Stegostoma tigrinum: one gene and its partner. The protein of the gene in region 1 interacts with the protein of each later gene in a pairwise test. Links are inferred from orthologs where the notes say so. Each region holds a gene or a part of one and is shown on either strand. Other genes may lie near its edges.

The links.
Region 2: the proteins of tsen54 (region 1) and tsen2 interact in a two-hybrid assay, tested with the Homo sapiens proteins (2 studies listed by BioGRID and IntAct). The two-hybrid records come from large-scale screens. The link is inferred for Stegostoma tigrinum from reciprocal best matches to the Homo sapiens genes TSEN54 and TSEN2.

What each region holds. Positions count from the first base shown.
Region 1 is NC_081375.1:51,131,147-51,142,056, reverse strand, and holds the start of tsen54 (tRNA-splicing endonuclease subunit Sen54), read left to right. Parts: upstream 1-5,740; 5' UTR 5,741-5,829; coding exon 5,830-5,870; intron 5,871-8,064; coding exon 8,065-8,229; exon of another isoform or gene 8,230-8,278; coding exon of another isoform or gene 8,279-8,346; intron 8,347-9,324; coding exon 9,325-9,388; intron 9,389-10,632; coding exon 10,633-10,716; intron 10,717-10,910.
Region 2 is NC_081364.1:24,973,517-24,985,415, reverse strand, and holds the start of tsen2 (tRNA-splicing endonuclease subunit Sen2), read right to left. Parts: upstream 5,044-11,899; 5' UTR 4,785-5,043; intron 4,778-4,784; exon of another isoform or gene 4,599-4,777; intron 4,542-4,598; exon of another isoform or gene 4,484-4,541; intron 2,957-4,483; 5' UTR 2,914-2,956; coding exon 2,725-2,913; intron 1-2,724.

The DNA of each region.
Region 1 (10,910 bases):
AGTATTTACGTCTACAAATTTTACAGAAAACCAAAGAACTGTGGATGCTAGAAATCAAAAATGCTGGAAAAACTCAGCAACTCTGGTTGCATAGACAATAGACAATAGGTGCAGGAGTAGGCCATTCAGCCCTTCGAGCCAGCACCACCATTCATTATGATCATCCACAATCAGTATCCTGTTCTTGCCTTATCCCCGTAACCCTTGAATCCACTATCTTTAAGAGGTCTATCCATCTCTTTCTTGAAAGTATCCAAGACTTGGCCTCCACTGCCTCCTGGGGCAGAGCATTCCATATATCCACCACTCTCTGGGTGAAGAAGTTTCTCCTCAACTCTGTTCTAAATGGCCTACCCCTTATTTTTAAACTGTGTCCTCTGGTTCTGGACTCCCCCATCAGCGGAAACATGCTTCCTGCCTCCAGAGTGTCCAATCCTATAATTATTTTATATGTCTCAATCAGATCCCCCCTCATCCTTCTAAACTTAAGTGTATACAAGCCCAGTCGCTCCAATCTTTCAACATATGATAGTACCGCCATTCCGGGAATTGACCTTATGAACCTACACTGCACTCCCTCAATAGCAATAATGTCCTTCCTCAAATTTGGAGACCAAAACTGCACACAATACTCCAGGTGCGGTCTCACCAGGGCCCTGTACAGTTGCAGAAGGACCTCTTTGCTCCAATACTCAATTCCTCTTGTTATGAAGGTCAGCATGCCATTAGCTTTCTTCACTACCTGCTGTACCTGCATGCTTGCTTTCATTGACTGATGTACAAGAACACCCAGATCTCGTTGTGCTTCCCCTTTACCTAGCTTGACTCCATTTAGATAGTAATCTGCCTTCCTGTTCTTGCCACCAAAGTGTATAACCACACATTTATCCACATTAAACTGCATCTGCCATGCATCCGTCCCCTCACCTAGCCTGTCCAAGTCACCCTGTATTCTCATAACATCCTCCTCACATTTCACACTGCCACCCAACTTTGTGTCATCAGCAAATTTGCTAATATTACTTTTAATGCCTTCATTTATATCATTAATATATATCGTAAACAGCTGCGGTCCCAGCACCGAACCCTGTGGTACCCCACTGGTCACCGCCTGCCATTCCAAAAGGGACCCGTTTATCAGTACTCTTCGCTTCCTGTCGGCCAGCCAATTTTCAATCCAAGCCAATAGTTTGCCCCCAATACCATGTGCCCTAATTTTGTTCACCAATCTCCTGTGTGGGACTTTATCAAAGGCTTTCTGAAAGACCAGGTACACTACATCCACTGGCTCTCCCTTATCCATCTTCATAGTTACATCCTCAAAAAATTCCAGAAGATTAGTCAAGCATGATTTCCCCTTCGTAAATCCATGCTGACTCTGGCCTATCCTGTTACTGCTATCCAAATGCTTCGTAAATTCATCTTTTATAATTGACTCCAGCATCTTTCCCACCACTGACGTCAGGCTTACCAGTTTATAATTCCCTGTTTTCTCTCTCCCACCTTTCTTGAAAAGTGGGACAACATTAGCCACCCTCCAATCCGCAGGAACTGATCCTGAATCTATAGAACATTGGAAAATAATTACCAACGTGTCCACGATTTCTAAAGCCACCTCCTTAAGTACCCTGGGATGCAGACCATCAGGTCCTGGGGACTTATCAGCCTTCAGACCTAACAATCTATCCGACACCTTTTCCTGCCTAATATACATTCCCTTCAGTTCATCCATGTGTGGCGAGAAAGCAGAATTAATGTTTCAGGTCTAGACAGCCCTCTCCAGAAATGATCTACAGATGCAGCCAAAGCTCAGCAGCTCTGGCTACATCTGTGGATCATTTCTGAAGAAGGCTGTCTAAACCTGAATGCAGCCAGAGCTGCTAAGTTTTTCTGAGATAACAAGGTGTAGAGCTGGATGAACACAGCAGGCCAAGCAGCAACAGAGGAGCAGGAAAGCTGACGTTTTGGGTCTAGACCCTTCTGTTCTGAAGGAGGGTCTAGACCTGAAACATCAACTTTCCTGCTCCTCTGATGCTGCTTGGCCTGCTGTGTTCATCCAGCTCTCCATCTTGTTATCTCAGGTTCTCTAGCATTGGCAGTTCCTACTATCTCTGTTAAGTTTTCCAGCAGTTTCTGATTTTGTTGCAAAGTTTATGAGGTGGGAAATTTATACAGGAATGTCTTATTTGGGATATCTCTACTTGATGACTCATTGACTATGGAAATGAGTACCTGTTTCTGATGTGATGTCTTTCCTTGTCTGCAACTCATGTCCCAATTGCTCTTTGGGACTATCCCAATCAGTTATTACAGAGCTGGCGTTGCACCATCCATGTATCTATGGCAGTAGTTTGCATGAAGCAAATCTTTTGAAGCAGTGATAGTGCCCCTCTTTCTAGGCCAGATGCTGGGTGTTCAAGTCCCACTCCAGGACTTGTTGGTCATCTAAGATGTGGTTGTAACGTTACCAATTAGGCTATTTGTCTGCCTGTGAATCCTTCCACTATGTCTGATGGTAGGCAATAAATATGAGGAGAGTTTGCTGATCAGATGTTTTCTGGAAGATAAGGAAGATGAGAGATAAGGAAATAGCTGAAGAACTTAATAAGTACTTTGCGACAGTCTTCACAGTGGAAGACATGAGTAGTATGCCAACAATTAGGGAGAGCCGGGGCCAGAGTTGAGTACAGTAGGCATTACAAAAGAGGAAGTGCTAGAAAAGCTAAAAGGTCTAAAAATTGATAAATCTCCTGGCCCCGATGGGCTACATCCTAGAGTTCTGAGGGAGGTGGCTGAGGAAATAGCGGAGGCTTTGGTTGTGATCTTTCAGAAGTCATTGGAGTCAGGGAGAGTCCCAGATGATTGGAAAATTGCTGTTGTAACCCCCTTGTTTAAGAAAGAATCAAGGCAAAAGAGGAAAATTATGGGCCGATTCGCCTAACCTCGGTAGTTGGTAAAATTCTAGAATCCATTGTCAAGGATGAGATTTCTAAATTCCTGGAAGTGCAGGGTCAGATTAAAACAAGTCAGCATGGTTTTAGTAAGGGGAGGTCGTGCCTGACAAACCTGTTAGAATTCTTTGAAGAAGTAACAAGTATGTTAGACCAGGGAAACCCAGTAGATGTTATCTGTCTAGACTTCCAAAAGGCCTTTGATATGGCGCCTCATGGGAAGCTGCTGAGCAAGGTGAGGGCCCATGGTGTTCGAGGTGAGCTACTGCCTTTGATTGCGGATTGGCTGTCTGACAGAAGGCAGAGAGTTGGGATAAAAGGCTCTTTCTCAGAATGGCAACCGGTGACGAGTGGTGTTCCGCAGGGTCCAGTGTTAGGGCCACAGCTGTTCACCTTATATATTAATGATCTGGATGAAGGGACTGGGGGCATTCTGGCGAAGTTTGCCGATGATACAAAGATAGGTGTACAGGCAGGTAGTACTTAGGAGGTGGGGAAGCTGCAGAAAGATTTAGACAGTTTAGGAGAGTGGTCCAGGAAATGGCTGATGAAATTCAATGTGAGTAAATGTGAGATTTTGCACTTTGGAAAAAAGAATACAGGCATGGACTATTTTTTAAATGGTGAGAAAGTTCGCAAATCAGAAGTACAAAGGGATCTGGGAGTGTTGGTCCAGGATTATCTAAAGGTTAACTTGCAGGTAGAGTCCGTAATTAAGAAAGCGAATGTAATGTTGTCGTTTATCTCAAGAGGGTTGGAATATAAAAGCAGCGATGTGCTTCTGAGGCTTTATAAGGCTCTAGTTAGGCCCCATTTAGAATACTTTGTCCAATTTTGGGCCCCACACCCCAGGAAGGACATACTAGCCCTGGAGCGTGTCCAGCTGAGATTCACATGGATGATCCCTGAAATGGTAGGTTTAGCGTATGATGAACGGCTAAGGATCCTGGGATTGTACTCATTAGAGTTTAGAAGGTTGAGGGGCGATCTAATAGAAACTTACAAGATAATGTATGGTTTAGAAGGGGTGGACGCTAGGAAGTTGTTTCTGTTAGGCGGGGAGACTAGGACCCGTGGGCACAGCCTTAAAATTAGAGGGAGTAAATTTAAAACTGAAATGAGACGACATTTCTTCAGCCAGAGAGTGGTGAGCTTGTGGAATTCATTGCCTCTGCTGTTTTAAAGCGTCAGATCGACCTGTCTGTTCTTTCCACCTTCTGTCAGGTGAACAGGTACATACATCGTTACACAAAAGAACAAAGAACTTGCATTTATATACCAAACCGCACAACCTCCAAACTGGCATGAGTGTGTGCTACTCCTGATCTCAGGCTAACAAGGTAATTTTGTAAACTAATAAATGGAGAAAGAGACTGTCAGAGAGAGATTAGCTCATCACACCTGGCCCTTAACTTAGGATGAAAATAACCAAAACAAAAACCACCCAGGATTTCGATCCATCCGTAACTAAGTCATGCAGATGTTGACCGAGTATGCTGCTTTGTTGTCACATGTAGAAAACAAACAAGAAAGTCCACAAGCCAGTGCCAGATTATTGTGATTACAATCATCACAAATAGTTGCATTTACATCAATACCTGATCGAGAAGTCTCAAAGGAATCCACCCCAAGTTAAACAGAAACCCTTGAACTCAGCAGCTGAATCTATACACATTCCAGATCCTGAAAACCAGAGATGTTCTCCCATTTGTCACTATTTTCTAAACAGACTGAAAGCGGACGATGGGGTGTTTGGGGTATGGGAAAGCACATTTCACCAAATTTGCCTGGTCAGTTTTGGTGACTTTTGCGATTCAAACCCCACACAGCCCAGGAGGGACTACATAATGGCTGCAAAGAATAGGAACACAAGTAGGCCATTCAGCCCATCGAATCTGCTCTCCCGTTTAATAGGATCAAGCCTCATCTAATCCCCTTTCTGCCTTTTCTCCTTAAACCTTGATTCCCCAAATAGTCGAGTCTACCTCATCCTTCAACACACACAAGGACTCTGCCCCAAAGCTGTGTGTGTGTGTGTGTGTCAGGGAGTTACAAAGACTCACCATCCTCTGAGAGAACAAATTCCTCCACATCTCTGGAGCAGGAAAGTTTACATTTGCTGTAAGGACCCTTCTACAGAAATGTCAGAAACGTCAGCTTTCCTGCTTCTCTCTAGCTGCCTGGCCTGCTGTGTTCCTCCAGCTCCACACTATTATCACAGACAAATGCTGGACATACTCAGCAGGTCTGGCATCATCAATGCAGAGAGAAAGAGCGTAACACTTTGTCGGCAATGGGAACGGTCGGGGCAGTGGAACAGGGGTGGGCAGTAGGACCCGGCTCTTTCTGTGCCGACAATTGGACCCGCCGGTTCAGTGAGCGGGCACCTGAACTCGCGGTGACGCTATGCGGGCACTAGGACCTGGCGGTGTCAGTGAGCGGGCACCAGGACCCGGCGATGTCAGTGGGAGGGCACTAGGACCCAGCAGTGACGTGATGCGGGCACCAGGACCCGGCGATGTCAGTGGGAGGGCACTAGGACCCAGCAGTGACGTGATGCGGGCACCAGGACCCGGCGATGTCAGTGGGAGGGCACTAGGACCCGGCCGTGTCAGTGAGCGGGCACCAGGACCCGGCCGAGTCAGTGGGAGGGCACTAGGACCCGGCGATGTCGTTGGGGGGGGGGTGCACAAGGACCCGGCCGTGTCAGTGAGCGGGCACCAGGACCCGGCCGTGTGAGTGGGAGGGCACCAGGACCCGGCCGTGTGAGTGGGAGGGCACCAGGACCCGGCGATGAGTGGGAGGGCACTAGGACCCGGCAGTGACGTGGTGCGGGCACTAGGACCCAGCGGCCCCGCTCTTGCCTCAGTCCTTGGAAATGGAGGCGGCTGGGCTGGGAGCCGTGAGCCGGAGCCTGAGGTAAAGGAGAGGGAGGCCTGGGGGCCCGGGTCAGTGACGCTCCGCGTTAAAGTCGGGGTTCTGAAGTGTGGCTGTGGTGTTTTGCTGCCCAGGCTGGTGGATGTAAATGTAGCACTGACAGCAGTGCGGCTTCAAAACAAAATGATCTTCCCTCAGACTGGATTATTATGGTGTGTGTGTGTTAGTTAGTTAGTTAGTCTGTCTCTGTGTGTGTGTTAGTCTCTGTGTGTGTGTGTGTTAGTCTGTGTGTGTGTGTGTCTCTGTGTGTGTGTGTGTGTGTGTGTGTGTGTGTGTGTGTGTTAGTTAGTTAGTCAGTCTGTCTCTGTGTGTGTGTTAGTCTCTCTGTGTGTGTGTGTGTTAGTCTGTGTGTGTGTGTGTCTCTGTGTGTGTGTGTTAGAGAGGGTAGATACTGAGAGGATGGTTCACCCACACCCCCTTCATGGGGCATAGTCTCAGAATAAAGGGGGCACCAGTTTAACCCTGAGATTTGGAGGAATTTGTTCTCTCAGAGGATGGTGAGCCTTTGTAACTCCCTGACACAGAGAGCTTTGGGGCAGAGTCCTTGTGTGTGTTTAAGGATGAGGATCACTCTTGACTAGACTGAAGTTTAAACAGAAAGGGCAGGGAAGTGGACGTGAAGAATATGAGATGCGTTTCGATCCTATTAAACGGCAGAGCAGACTCGATGGGCTGAATGGCCTACTTGTGTTTCTATTCCTTGCAGCCATTATGTAGTCCCTCCTGGGCTGTGTGGGGTTTGAACCGCAAAAGTCGCCAAAACTGACCAGGCAAATTTGGTGAAATGTGCTTTCCCATACCCCAAACACCCCATCGTCCGCTTTCAGTCTGTTTAGAAAATAGTGACAAATGGGAGAACATCTCTGGTTTTTAGGATCTGAAATGTGTACAGATTCAGCTGCTGAGTTCAAGGGTTTCTGTTTAACTTGGGGTGGATTCCTTTGAGACTTCTCGATCAGGTATTGATGTAAATGCAACTATTTGTGATGATTGTAATCACAATGATCTGGCACTGGCTTGTGGACTTTCTTGTTTGTTTTGAACTTGTGACTAACAAATGCAGCATACTCCCTCAACATCTGCATGACTTAGTTACGGATGGATCGAAATCCTGGGTGGTTTTTGTTTTGGTTATTTTCATCCTAAGTTAAGGGTCAGGTGTCTTCTGACAGCCTCTTTCTCCATTTATTATTTTACAAAATTACCTTGTTAGCCTGAGATCAGGAGTAGCACACACTCATGTCAATTGAGAGGTTGTGGGATTTGAAATCTGTAACATGAGTAAGTTAATGAGCAATGAAGCACAGTGGGATCTCAAAGACGTGAAAGGTGCTGTATAAATGCAAGTTCTTTGTTCTTTTGTGTAACGATGTATGTACCTGTTCACCTGACAGAAGGTAGAAAGAACAGACAGGTCGATCTGACGCTTGAAAACAGCAGAGTTGCCACAAAAGAGCAAAGATTTGCCTTTATACAGTACTCTTTATAGCCACTGTGCATCTCAAAGGTACTCCTAGCCAATGAATTACTTTAGAAATGCAGATGGTGTTGCAAAATAAGAAATGTAGCTGCCACATTTGGTGTTCATGAAAGTTTTCTGTGCACAGTTTGATAACTCCCATATAAGCTGTTTTTGTGATGTTTGTTGAAGGAGATGCCCTGCCCATGTTCAAAACTGTGGCATGGCATATTGTACGTTCCTGTCCCTGAGGAAGATAGTAGCCGAGTGGCAGTGTTGGTCTAGTAATCCAAAATTCCAGGCTAATACTTTGAAGGTGTTGATTCAAATCCCATCACAGTCCGTGGTGGTGACTGATGGAATTTGATGGAACTGATGAAATCCCAATTCAGGAATAGTGACTATGAAACCATCATCAACTACTGTAAAAATCCAATTGGTTCACTAATGATGGAAGTCTGCCATCCTTACCTGTGACCTACAGCGATGTGCTTGTGTCTTAATTGTTCTATGGCCAAGCAAGCCATTTAGTTCAATGGAAAACGTGGCAATAAATGCCAGCCTTGTCAGCAAAAGCCATAAACTTTGAAAGAATAAAGAACCTAGCAGACAGATGTAACAAGGGGTACACTTTCTACGTTATATTGAATAATAAACGTATGCTTTAACAAGCAGGCACCTAATGTTTGCAGACTTTCTCTTGTGTCCCTTTTGCAGCTCTGAGGAATTGTTCGCGGCACGATCCCGGGATCACAAAATTCCCCAACGGACCCATGGACAGAAAGACTTCATTCCGGATCACTCTGAGGAGCAGATGGAGCGGCTTCGGGTGTGCCGAGAGGAACAGTGGCAGCTGCTGTCTGAAGAGCGAGTGGAACGACTGTAAGGATTGCTGCTTGTCAGTCAGAAATACCCGGGGCCTGAAATATCCATGGGGCAGCTGCCAGAACTCGGCAATGGGCCTACTACAATAACTATAGCTCAGCCACACAGGCAGAGGTAGGAAACAGACAGCAGGAGAAGCTTCTGTATTGTGGGAGCACGGTGCAGTTCCTTTGATTTGACATTGCGAATACGCTGATCAGACTGACCCCTCAGTCTCTGGTCCATTGTGAAGTACATAGTCTCAGCTGTTTTCTAGCTTGCTTTGGTGAGAGTTCAATGTTTCAACCTATTTTGTAGGTTTTTGGGTTGCAGTGTATATTACCTACTGATTAAAGCTTTTCCTCTACACTGACCCCATCAAACAGCTCCTGGACAGGTACAAAATGGGATTTTATCCAGAGTAAAACTCCTTCTACGCTGTCTACATTATATACTCCCAGGACCGATTCAGCACAGGGTTAGATACAGAGTAGAGGTCTTTCTACATTGTCCCCATCAAACACTCCGAGGACAGGAATGGCATGTGGTTAGGTACAGTTTAAAGCTACTCTAACTCTTTTAAACTAGAAGTAAATCTTCCTTTGTTCATTTAAACAAATAGGAAATGGAAAGTGAAGGCCCCTCAATGCTGTCCCCATCAAAAACCCGAGAGCCAGGGATAGCACAGGGTTAGACACAAAATAGACATCCCTCTGCTCTTTTAAACTTGAAAGTAAATATCAAGATCATTGTACACTGTTCCCATCAAACAATCCAAGGACAGGGACAGCACAGGATAGGCACAGAATGAAACTTGCTTTAAACTTTCCATTAAAATAACCCCTTATCAGAAATAGCACACTTCAAACGCTGATTTTGTGTGATGTTGGGGAGATGATATCAATTGGCAGACTTTTCTGGAGTTCAGCACCGGTTGTTAATTCTTGTGACAGTCAGTGGATTAGTATTCTGCTGCTTGGACAATTATGACTGTGGTGGAATGTGAGGTTAATAATGTGTTGTGCATTCCCTGATCTGGCAGATTTATAGTCACTGAATTGCCGTGCCGTGCTTTGTGGGAGATAGTTGCATAAAGTTTCTCTTTTCATCTAGAGGAAGCCTGATAAAAGCTGAGTGGAAGCCCCAGGAAAGCATTGTGGAGCTGAAATCCAATGCAGTGAGTTTACTTTTCTTGCCATTCCCAAAGCAGATAGGTCTTGACAGAACCCTTAAATTCCAGAATGCCTTCTATTTTAATCATGTTTCAGTAAAAGTACATTCTTCCGTGTTTGTAACAAGCTTTTTAACCTGTTTCTATGCAATTCTTCTTTAGTAAGGGTGATTTTTTAAAAATGTTAACCGTTTGAAATAACATGCAGAAAGGAGATAGAAAGGAATTAATTACAGACAGTGGACAGTCTGATTTCCTTTTTGGTGCCCCTCTCTTTCTGTCCAAATCAGAATGATTGCCAGGACTCTATCCCAGTCCAGTCATTATGGTCAAAATGATCACACCTTGCCTGGGGTGCCTCTTCTAACTCTTCGATCTCCACAATTTACGAGTCAGCTGGGAGATGGTTGAAAAGCCACATTGTACCAAATTTCATCACGCTTCATTGTACTGTTACAAGTCATGACCAGGCATAGCTCAGTGCCAGCCCTCCTCTCCCAATGAGAGTGTCACGGATTCAAGTCCCATTCTGGAGAAAACCAAGGTAGACACTCCAGAGAAGCACTGCATTGTCAGATGTACTGTTTTATGTTGGACAAGTTTTTTTTAAAAACCGTTAGTGTTACCTGAGCTTCACTCACTGGATGAGCATATGAGACTCCATTGTCCCTTTCAGGTGCATATGAGAATTCACAAAACTATTTAACATGGGGCTAGAGAGTTCTCCCCAGAGTTCTGCCCAGCATTTATCCTACAACCAACATCAGCACAGATATCAAAACAGAAAATACTGATGAATTGCAGTACGATTATCCTCTTGAAACATTAACCCTATTTCTTTCTTTACAGATGCTGCCTGACCTGCTGAGTGTTTCCAACACTTCCTGCTTGGCCTGCTGTGTTCATCCAGCTCTACACCTTGTTATCTCATTTCCTGCTTTTAGTTGATTTCCAGCATGAATAACATTTTGCTTTGTGTGCTGCTGAAACAGATTATTTCATTGCTGTTTGTGAGAGCCTTCTGTGTGCTATTTGGTTAGCACATTTCTTCTGGCTCTAAAGCACTTTAAGACATTTGGAGGTTATTAAAGGCTGCTTGCAAAATGTAGATTCTTTCTTTCTAACATTCAGTAACTGAAGTTCATTGCAATGATTTTATTGTTGATAACCCAAGGTTAATGCAACCTGTCTGATTTCTTAATTCTATTGCATCTTCCCCCCCCTCCACCTCCCTTCTCGATTCTACGCAGGGCAAATTCTGGCACACCATGGGCCATGTGGAACATGGGAAACAATTGCTGTATCCTGAGGAAGCACTGTACCTTCTTGAGTGTGTAAGTATACAAAGCTGTAAGGTCTGCCACACTAAAGCTACTATATACTGAAGAATTTTAAAATCCCCCCTCGGGTATTATTTGCACAATCCTTGGGATTGTGCGGATTCTCAGCCCTTCTCTGTGGAGCCCTGATTAGGACTTCTGCTTTTATCTGCTCAATGGAAACCAAGGGAGAGGTTCAATTTGTGATC
Region 2 (11,899 bases), on another chromosome or scaffold:
CGACTGCCCTCTCAGACAGTGCACTGTAAATCCTACTCACTGTGCCTAAAAAAGATTTGCCATTATGTTGCTGCTAGCTCTTGGCAAATCAATTTAAATCTGTACTCTCTGCTTACCAACCCATGAGCCATTGGAAACAGTTTCTCCTCATAGTACATCTAAACCCTTTATGATAATAAACATACCTATTCCTCTCTCAACCTTCACAGTTATAATGAGAAAATCTAGCCTCTATTAACTATTATTTCACATCTCTGGAACTATTCAAGTAATGGAACACCACCACCTGCAAGCCCCTCTCCAAGCCACTCATCACTCCGACTTGGAAATATATCACCATTCCTTCCTGTTGCCAGGTCAAAATTCTAGAATTCCCTCCCTAAGGGCATTGTGGGTCTAGCACATGGCCTGCAGTGGTTCAAGAAGGCAGCTCACCACCACCTTCTCAAGGGCGACTGGGGATGGGCAATAAATGCTGGACACCCACATCCCATCAGTAAACAACAAAGGGGAGACAGTGGTGTAGCCCCTGGACTAATAACCCAGTGACCCAGGCTACTGCTCCAGAAACACGCAGTCAAATCCAACCACTGCAGCTGGTGAAATTTAAATTCAAAAAGAGAATAAATTGGAAATAAAAAGTTTGTCTAATGATAATCACAAAACCCTTAATGATTGCTGTAAAAGCCAATCAGGTTCACTAATACAAAAACAACGTTGCTGGAAATGCTCAGTGGGTCCGGCAACATCTTTGAAGGTCAAACAGAGTTAACGTTTCGGGTCCAATGACCCTTCCTCAGGCCCTTCCTATTCTGAGGAAAGGTCACTGGACCCAAAACGTTAACTCTATTTTTCTCCTTCACAGACGCTGCCAGACCTGCTGAACTTTTCCAGAAACTTTGTTTTTGTTCCTGATTTACAACATTTGCAGTTCTTTTGGTTTTTATTCAAGTTCACTAATACCCTTAGAGAAGGAAATCTGCAATCCTTAACTGGTTTTGCTACATGTGATTCTACACCCATAGCAATATGGTTGCCTCTCAACTGCTCTCTGAAATGGTCTAGAAAGCCACCCTCAAACCATTAAAAAAAAAAATCGAAAGAAAGGAATGAAACCAAATGGATCATCTGGTGTCAATCTATCTGTTGCAGGTGCATCTGCTGTTGCCACTATCAATAAAAGTGACCACCGCACAGACTTTGTGGAGGTAAAGTTTCATTTTTACTCCATTATCATGTGTGGCAATTGTGTTAACTGTGAAAGGTGATAACCAGATCTCACAGAACAAGACTGGGAATCTGTGAGGCACTGTGGGCCATCAGTAACATTTTATTTAACCACAATCTGTAACCTCATGGCCTGGCAAATACTGGCTATTAGCATCAAGCCTGGAGATCAAACCTAGTTCAATGAAAAGTGCAGTAGCACCTGCCAGAAGCAGCGCCAGGCATACACACGATGAAGTTACAATACAGGACTACTTGATGCAAAACGGCAGAAGCAGGATACAGTAATCAAAGTGATCCTAGAATCAATGGATCAGATCTAAGTTCTGCAGTCCTGTCACATCCAGTCATGAACGGTGGTGGACAATGAAATGACTCACTGGAGGAGAAGGCTCCACAAATATCCTCATCTTTAAAAAGAGGGCAGAGGCCAACACACAGGTACAATGGATAAGGCTGAAGCAATTGAAACTGTTCTGAAGAAGGGTCACTGGACACAAAACATTAATTGATTTCTCTCCACTGATGTTGCCAAACCTGCAGACATCTTCCAGCAACTTCTGTTTCTGTTTGTGTTTGAAACTGTGTTCAGCCAGAAGTGCTGAGTGGATGATCCGCCTTGGCATCCTCTTGACTGTGTCACAGTCAGTCTGATTCATGCCATATGCTATCAAGAAACAGATGACGGTACTGGACGCTGTAAAATCTATAGGTCCTGACAATGTCCCAACAATAGTACTGACGCCTTGAGCTCCAGAATTTGCTGCATCCCTAGTCAAGCTGTTCCAATACAGCTACAATACTGGGATCAACCTGACAATGTGGAAAATTTCCCAGATATCGCCTGTCCACACGAAGCTGGACAGCTCCAACCTGACCAATTACTCCCAAAGTCTACTCTCAGTCATCAGCTAAGTAATGGACAGGACTGCACCAGCTGAAGACAGCGACTCATCTGCACTTTCTCAAAGGCATTATGGATTGGTAATGAGGACTCAAACATCCTATCAATGCATAACAAAAGAAAAACATCAAGTTGGCCATCCTCTCAACACTTTGCATTCTTCCTAATGTATAGTGCCCAGAATTAAACACATTCCTGCTGTTGGAACCTATAAAGGTTCCTAACTTTTGCACTCAATGCCTCAATTTACAAAGTCTGGAACCTCATATGCTTTATTAACTGAATTGTTAATCTGTCCTGGCATATTAAATGAACTCTTTGTGAAATCCTTCCATCTTTTATGTTCTTGCATCAGCCTTTAAAATTGTACAGCTCGGCTTGTATTATTTTACCTGATTCTTCCACTCAAATTGAACCACCTACCTACGTCCGACATGTTTTCACATTCCACCAGCAGTCTATGTCTGCTCCTGGCTATCTATCTTCCTCACTGCTTATAAGTTGCATGTCATATGCCAACTTTGAAATTGTGCCCTATAACGCCACGTTCAAATCATTAAAGTAAATGAGAAAAAGCAATGATCCTAAAATACCTTTCCATAAAGGGCTTGCATACTGTCTGGGTTCCTCACAATTACGTTGTTATTCATAATTTCTGCATAATAATGTTCTTGTTCATATGCATTTGATTCTTCTCGTTTTAATGGCACAGGATAAGGAGCTTCGTAAGATTCATACACTCTTCTCTTTCTTTTTGGCGCACAGAAGTTTGCTTCTGCCATAGCACCAAAGATTCCTTTGAAGTAATTTCAGACAGGATGGTTGCTTCAAATTAAAATATTCAGAAGTTAAGGGTTTTACATGGGTAAACAATTACTGAGCAGCTTAGCCAGTTAATAAATTCCCTGAAGTTTTTAATAAGGTAAATGCCAAACACAATTCTGTTGGAAGGTATCACTGCTAATTTATAATGAATCATTTCAGATCTTTATAGCCATGTACACAGAATACCTACAGTGTAGAAACAGGCCATGTGGCCCATTGAGTCTGCACTGACCCACTGAAGAACATCCCATCCAGACTCAGATGCCCACCCTGTCCCCATAACCCTGTGTTTTCCATGACTAATCCACCTAGCCTGCACATCTATTGCCACTACAGAGCAATTTACAATGGTCAATCTACCTAGCCTGTTCATCCTTGGACTGTGGGAGAAAATTGGAGCATCCAGAGGAAACCCACGCAGACACAGACAGCAAGTGCAAACTCTACTCAGGCAGTCACCCAAGGCTGAAATGCAATCAAGGTTCCTGGTACTATTAGGCAGCAGTGTTAACCACAGTGCCACCATGCTGCTTGTCTCCAACAAGGTTTTAAACAACTGTTAAAGTACCTGTTTTAACAAACTGATATATTTTTATCATCAATGCTTGGTCTGCCACTCAAATCCTCTCTAGACAGACGTCACAAGCAGTTGCAGCCAAGGAGAAGGGGTTTCTTCCTCCTGCAATCCTCTCCACTGAGATTCAGTCATAGAGAATCATGGAATAACAAGGAGTAGAGCTGGATGAACACAGCAGGCCAAGCAGCATCTTAGGAGCAGGAAAGCTGATGTTTCAGGCCTAGACCCTTCATCTAGGCCCAAAACATCAGCTTTCCTGCTCTTAATATGCTGCTTGGCCTGCTGTATTCATCCAGCTCTACACCTTGTTATCTCAGATTGTCCAGCATCTGCGGTTCTATTATGTCTGTTACAACTTTAACCTCACTGCGAAGCCTCTTCTAAGGATGCCTACCCTGAAGAAGTTACCCTCCTCCCTCCAGACCAACCTCAGGGGATCTCTCTCCCACTGCAACTCTCTCGTAATCTCTTCGGCCTTGAAACTGCTCGACCATATCCTGAAGCAAACCAGATACTACAGCCATATCACCTTTCTTAGTCCCTGCCTACGAAACCAGATCATCCCCAATGGACTACAGTCCACATTAAAAGCCTTCCCAATTTGACCCCAAACATAACAATGTCTACATTCAGAACATTGAGACCCTTCAGAAGCGTTTCTCCCAATAGGGAATCATGATCGGGCTATACAATACCCAAGAGGGGGGTTTCACGGATTGTCAATGTGCAGACAGATCTCAGGGAATCAAAGATAACCAGGCATTGGCTGTCTTTTTTACCGACAGGTTCTCCCTCCGCTTTTACCTAATTAATTCCTCAAACTCGAAAATGTCATTCTGCATTACTCCTCCATCCCCTTCAGTCCCTCATTTCCTCTCTACAGCAGGCCTTTCCATAACTCTGGCCATTTCCTCACCCCACTGTATCTACTGTGCGCGCGTATACTGTACCTTCCACTGTTCTCTTTTCATTTTTCTCCCCATCTGCGCCTTTTTCCCCACATGCTTTCCACAAAAACACAGTTGCCCCTGTTGCTCACCGCCCCCGTTCATTCCCAGCGCGTACCGTACCCCCTCCACCCCACTCCTACCGTGAGGGGTCAGCCAAACCGGTCAGCACACTGTGAAGTGCCGCAATGGAAGGAAATAACATTCCAACAGTTGTTACAGGGACGTTCGGAACACTGATACTCCAGATTCCCATTCACAACAAGCACAAACATTGCTACATTGTAACCACCAGAATACTCACGGCCGTTTCAAGCGTCCACACAGCATCAGCCGCCAGTGCAACCCAGAAACATCACCGACCGAACCCTCTCTTACTGTTTCTTCGTTCCCATTGAGTTTCCGCAATAAAGTGCCTCGATTGCATTAATCAATTGTGCATGAAGCTTTCTTCGTCTAATGTATTGAAAACACAAATTTAGATTTGTTCTAGCAAATAACTTACGAATGCCTTCATAACTGAGTTTTTCAATTCTTTTTGGAAACTGCCTATTTGCCTCATCTATGATGTGTGAACAGGGTGATTGGCACTCTTGAAAGAATCAGACTGGCACTGCACAGAAGCAGGCCATTTGGCCTGCTAAAACAATTAACCTCATGCAATTCTTTCATGTAACAATTCAATTTCTTTTGAAAGCCAGGGGAATCTGCTTCTACCATACATCCTAGATTCCAACCGCCTGGTGCTTAAAGTGTTTATCCCATTTTCCTAATTATTTCCTTTGCCAATCAAAGTACAGTCCTTTTTCTTGAAGTCCTGCCAGCAAAACATCTACTCTGGCTAGACCCCACGTGATTTTAAAAACCATAAGAAAGCAGCCACAGGTCCTCCAATAGCTATCTACTGGACCAAAGTTTCTCACTCCAAAACCATTCTCATGGATCTTTTCTGCATCCTGCCAAGCATGACTATGTCCTTTCTGAAAATACTTCATCTGAGGCAGAATGTGTGTGTTTTACATAGCTTTATCATAACTTCCTCAGAGATAGCAAGAACTGCGGATGCTGGAGTCAGAGATAACACTGTGCGGAGCTAGAGGAACACAGCAGGCCAGGCAGCATCAGAGGAGCAGGAAAGCTGAAGAAGGGTGCCGGCCCAAAATGTCAGCTTCCCTGCTCCTCTGATGCTGCCTGGCCTGCTGTGTTCCTCCAGCTCCACACTGTGTTACTTTTATCATAACTTCTTTGTTTTTATATGGTCTGCTTCTATTTATAAAGCCTTTTTAATCATTCTCTCAATCATCCATTCAATGATTTGTGGTAATCAGATCTCTTTGCTCCCACATCCTCTTTAAGATTGTGTCCTTCAGATTATATTGCCTGTCCCTGTTCCTCTCACCAAGCTTAATGGCTTCACACTTCTCTGCAATAAATTTCGTCAGCAGCTTGTCCACCTACTCTAGCAACTTCCCTGTGGAAATGCAGTTTGGTTGAATCTAAACTAGCTGCCGCTAAAACTCGGTCCATTGCTCAGTTACAGTTTTGTCTGCCACTCTTTGATTCCTGTTTATTTGGCTAAATCTGTTCTCTCGCTATTCAAGTTTCCCCCTTCCCAATTAATTATGCTCTGATTGATGCTTGACCTATACCATTCCTAACCTAAACATCGAAACAAAGAGAGGGAGTAGGCCATTTAGTCTTTGAGTCTGCTCTGCCATTAAGTATGATCATGGCTGATCCTCTATACAATATCATATACCCGCTTCCCCCCAACAGCACTTGATACCTTTAATATCTAAAAAAATTACCAATCTTTTTCTTGAATATATTCAGTGACTGTGTCTCCACAGCCTTCTGTGGTTGAGAATTTCACAGGTTCAGCTCCCTTTGAGTGAGGAAATCTTTCTTCATCTCAATCCTACATGGTCTAACCCATATCCTAAGACTTTGCTCCCGGCTTCTAGTCCCAACTGGGGACCACATCCACTCTGCATCCATTCTGTTCAGCCCTGTTAGAATTGTTTATGTTTCTATCAGGTCTTCTCTCATTCTTCAAAAGTCTAGTGTTTACAAGTCCAGTCAAATCAATCTGTCCTCATTGAACAGTCCTGCCAGCTCTGGTATCAGAGATAATGGGAACTGCAGATGCTGGAGAATCCAAGATAACAAAGTGTGGAGCTGGATGAACACAGCAGGCCAAGCAGCATCTCAGGAGCACAAAAGCTGACGTTTCAGGCCTAGACCCTTCATCAGAGAGGAGGATGAAGGGTCTAGGCCCAAAAAGTCAGCTTTTGTGCTCCTGGGATGCTGCTTGGCCTGCTGTGTTCATCCAGCTTCACACTTTGTTATCTCTGGTATCAGCCTACTTAATCTTCATTGAATTCGCTCTTTGTCACATATATCTTTTTTTAGATAGGGTAACCAGAACTGCATCTCATGTTCATCCACACTTGATGTATCACCGTTTAAATAATTTTTTTCTATTTTTCTCACAGAAGTGTTTAATTTCACATTTAGCCACATTGTGCTAAACCCGCCATGTGTTTGTCCACACACCTGTTGAAGTGGCCTAGATGCTTCCTTGCGCCCTCTGCATCACTTAGTATCCTCACCCGCTTTGTGTCATCAGCAAACTTGGAAATGTTGCATTTGGTTCTGTCATCCATGTTGTTTAAATGTATTGTGAATAGCTGGGCACAAGCACAGGTCCTTGTAGTACCCCAATAATCTCTGCCTGCCACTCTGAAAATGCTCCATTTTTTCTCAGTTTCTGTTACCAATTCCTGAACCATGCCAATATATTACCACCAAATCCCATGTGCTTTAACTTTGCCCACTAGCCTTTTATGAAGGACCTTGTCAAAAGTCTTCTGAAACTCCAAATACACCACGTCCACTGGTTCTTCCTGAGCTATTCTACTTGTTATGTCCTTTAAAAAGTCCAGTTCATTTGTTAAGCATGATTTGCCTTTTATAAACTCTTTCATAATTTCCATAAAGGTTCTGTTATCACATTTTTTATAACAAACTCTAGCATTTTAGCCACTACTGGTGTTAGACAAACTGGTCCATAATCCTATGTTTTCTCTCCTTCCTTTTTTAAATCATGGCGTTATTTTTGCCACCTTCCTATCTGTAGGAATTGCTCTAGAATCTGTAGGATTTTGGAAGATAATCATCAATGCATCTGATATTTCCAGGGCCATATCCCTTAGTACTGTGGGATGTATATCACCAGGCCCTGGTGATTTGTCAGCCTTTAAATTTATTAATTTTCCCTGCACTATTTTCTTATTAATACTGATTTCCTTCAATTCCACTCTGTCACTAAACCCTTGGTTCCCTAACATATCTGGGAAGTTATTTGTGCCCTCATTTACAAAGACAGAACCAAAGTATTTGTTTAATTCTTCTGCCATTATTTGTTCCTCATTATACTCTTGTTAGCTTCTGCCCTAAACGTTATGATACATTAATCACTGTCCCCTGAGTGGTTCCCTGCTGACATTGATCCACTTAGCAAACCTCAATCCCAAGAACTAGGACCAGTGTCGTCTCCCGTTGGACTGGAAACATTCTGATGCAAAGGATTCTACTGAACATACCCCAGGAATGGGTTTCTTTACACGACTAATTTCCCCATATATATTACAATAATTTACACATCCCATTATTTCTACTCTATAATATGTACAAGTTCCTAATTGCAAATTTGTTTCTTTACACGTTTCCCAATTGTCAGTCACCTACACAATAAACTGAGCAATGCAATTATACATCATTACTTCTCAGCTATAGCCTTGAATGTACAAGAGCAAAAGAACTCTAAAAAGATCCTCTAAATGAACACTAGAAGGAATTCTAAAAGATCATGAAGCCTGAGAAAACTGGAGTTAATGGGAATCAGGGGAAAACCTTTGGCTGGTTAGGGTCATAGGCACAAAGAAAGATGGTTGTGGTTGTTGGAGGTCAGTCATCTCAGCTCCAGGACATCACTGCAGAAGTTCCTCAGTGTAGTGTCCTAGGTTCAACCATCTTCAACTGCTTCAATGACATTCTCTCCATCATAGGTCAGAAGTGGGGATGTTCACCAATGATGGCATTATGTTCAGTGCCATTTGCGAGTCCTCAGATACAGAAGCCTCAGGTTCAAATGCAACAAAATCTGGATAATATCCAGGCTTGGACTGACAAGTGGTAAGAAATATTCTTGCCACACAAATGCCAGGCTATAGCCATCCCCAATAAGAGACAATCTAACCCATGCCACTTGACATTCACCAGTGTTGCCATCACTGAGTCTGCTGCTATCAACATCCTGGTGGTAGGTAACCATTGACCTGGAACTGATTTAGACTCACCATATGAATACAGTGGCTACAATAGCAAGTAAGAGTCTGAGAATACTACAGTGAGTAACCTATCTTCTGACTTTCCAAAGTCTGTTACCATATACAAGACACAAGTCAGGAGTGTGATGGAATATTCTCCCCTTGCCCGGATGAGTGCCGGTCCAGCAATAGTAAAGAATCTTGACTCCATCCAGGACAATGCAGCTTAGTTGGTTGGCACCATATCCACAGTCATTCAGTTACTCCACCAGTGATGCTCAGTTGCAGCAGTGCATATTATCGACAAGATGCACGGTATTCATAAAACTCACAACCTTGCAAAAACATGCACTACTGTTTAGCACCTGATTCTCAAGCTCTGAAACTCAGAGGGAGACATGGAATAAATTATTTGTTTTGCTGATGAATGATAACAGAAATATATTAAAGACATTTCATTTGAAAATACGCAACACTGAATATATCACTTTTATTACTTGAAAATTCTTGATATATCTTTTACATTGTCCTTGAAGAATCATGTAGGTACATGCTCTAGATATAATGGATAATATTCTATAGAAAAATTGTGGCAATTTTTAAATTCAGCTCCATTTTAATCATGTACTACATCTTAAAGGTCACCAGATGGCACTTCTGTTACTGACCTGGCAATGTAAATATCCTCTCAAATTATAGTAATAATCATTTAAGTACTTTGCTTAGGATTTGATCCCTCACTTTTGTTACTTACTTTACTCAGTTGCAGCATTTGGCTAATAAATTGTAAACTTAACTATATTCTTCATGCTTTTTGCTGTCAGTTTGGTATTTTTTAAAATTTATTTTAGTTTATTCATTTTAGTTCAATATCCCAAGGATGGATAATTGCAAGATCATGGAACATACAATGAGGTATGGCTTATCTTGAATATTAATTGGAAAGAGTACAAAAAATGGTGACAGAGGCCCTTAAAAACTGGGAATACATTTCTTGTACGTTTGCATTGCTCCTCTATAAATGTACCAGCAGAAAAAAGCAAAAGAATTTGTTAATACCAGGATAAACATTATTAATTTCTAAATGATTTGTATGGAATTATACAGTCTCATTCACTTTGTTGATAGGATAAAACATTTGATTTGAAAATCAGTTGAATTTTTTTTATAAAATGTCTCAACCCTGGTGGGAATAATATGGTGGAAATCAAACCCTGCTTTAAGGGAAGATGGTGGCATAGTGGTAATGTCACTAATTTAATAATACAGAGCCCCAGGCTAATCATAGAATCTCTGCAGTGCACATTGGCCTCTGGCCCATCATGTCTGCACCAACCCTCCAAAGAGAAACCCATCCAGACCCACACCCCGACCTAAACCAATAACCACACATTTCCCATGGCTGACCCATTTGCCCTGGACACCATGGGGCAAAGTAACATGGCCAATGCACTAACCTGCAAACCTTTAGACTATGGGAGGAAGCCTGAGCACCTGACTGAAACCCCAGCAGACTCAGGGAGAATGTGCAAACCCCAATCAGACATTCGCCCAAGGCTGAGCCTAGATCCCCGGCACTGTGAGGCAGCAGTACTAACCACCGAGCCACCATGCATAATGTTCTGGTGATTATAGGTTCATATCCCAATGATGACAAATGGTGAAATCTGAGTTCAATAAACTACTGGAATTACCAAGCTATTCTAATGATTATCATACAGATTATCATACTTGTGATTGTTGTAAAGATCCATCTGGTTCACCCTTTATATCTAGCTCACATGTGATTCCAGACTTGTAGTCTGGGAAAGTAGAGATGGATGATAAATGCAAGCATAGACAAATGAATGGAAGGAAAACATGCACAAGTAGTTGCAAGGGAGAAATAGGACTAATTTAATTACCAGGAGGTTAATGCCTGTTTGTGACCATGATCTAAGATAAAAGAAAGTTACAACAGGTTTTATCAATGAACAAGAAAACCAATGTATTCATTATAGCAAAGAGATTATTAATCACAAATATGCAAGCTTAAATCCTTTGAATCCAAATACACACAGATTCACTCACACATAGGATGGACAAGTCCAATAAGACAAATAGTTTTTCGGAAATATCACGGGTTTCTCTGATGTAGCATGGATACCATTCATAGCCTAGGCAAATGCCAAGATGCACGGCATAGCCATTTTATTAACAGGTAGAAGCTGTCTTTGTCAGCCATTTTGACATTTGTAACACACATTCCACTATAAAACGGTTTGTGAGATTACTGCTTACCGTGAATGTGCATCATCACTACACTAGGATGGAAATTAGTGCGGTGGTGCATTTCCAGCTAAACAAATAAACAAATTTTAAACAAATAAAAGCTTGCATGCACTGTCATTTACATTGTGAGTTAGCCACATTACCCATATATACATGGTTATGGTCGTGTATTTACAAAAGCTTTTGTTCTGCTAGTTAGTCTTTCTTTTCTCAATATCTACATTCATTGTATGCATGCAAGTTATCACCTTTTCCTTCAACTTCTTCTGACTGGAGTGATGCGCTCTCTGTTTCTATTTCAAAATCTTCTCAGCTGACTCTGCTGATTGACTCTGTTATGGTAGCCACCTTTTTTCTTTAGTTTCTGTCCCACTCTATTTGTCAGTTTGTTAATAAATATGGCCTGTGAAACACTATAAATCTCATCTGGTCCATTTGAGGTTACTAGTCCGGGGTCTTGACTTGCTGCTGCTGAGATATGTGACTCTAAGTTCATACTGGATATTTGGAATTTCATGTCTTCGTTCATGCTGTAGCATTCGATTCTGAAATTAATTTGTCCTCTTGCAATAGGCATAATTCCATCATGGAAATTCAACTTTACCTCCAGGGTGAAATGGTTGAGTAAGAGTTAAGCAGTCTGCATTCGTTAAGGGTTGAATAGAGACAGGCAGTTTCAGTTAGAAGAGTTTTAGTAAAATGATAGAATTGAAGGATATAAAATGCACAGAAACAAGATGTGGAATTGGGACAGCTATACTACCCAATCAGCAAAGATAAGGAACATCTCGGGTAAATACACACGATGCTTGTTTTA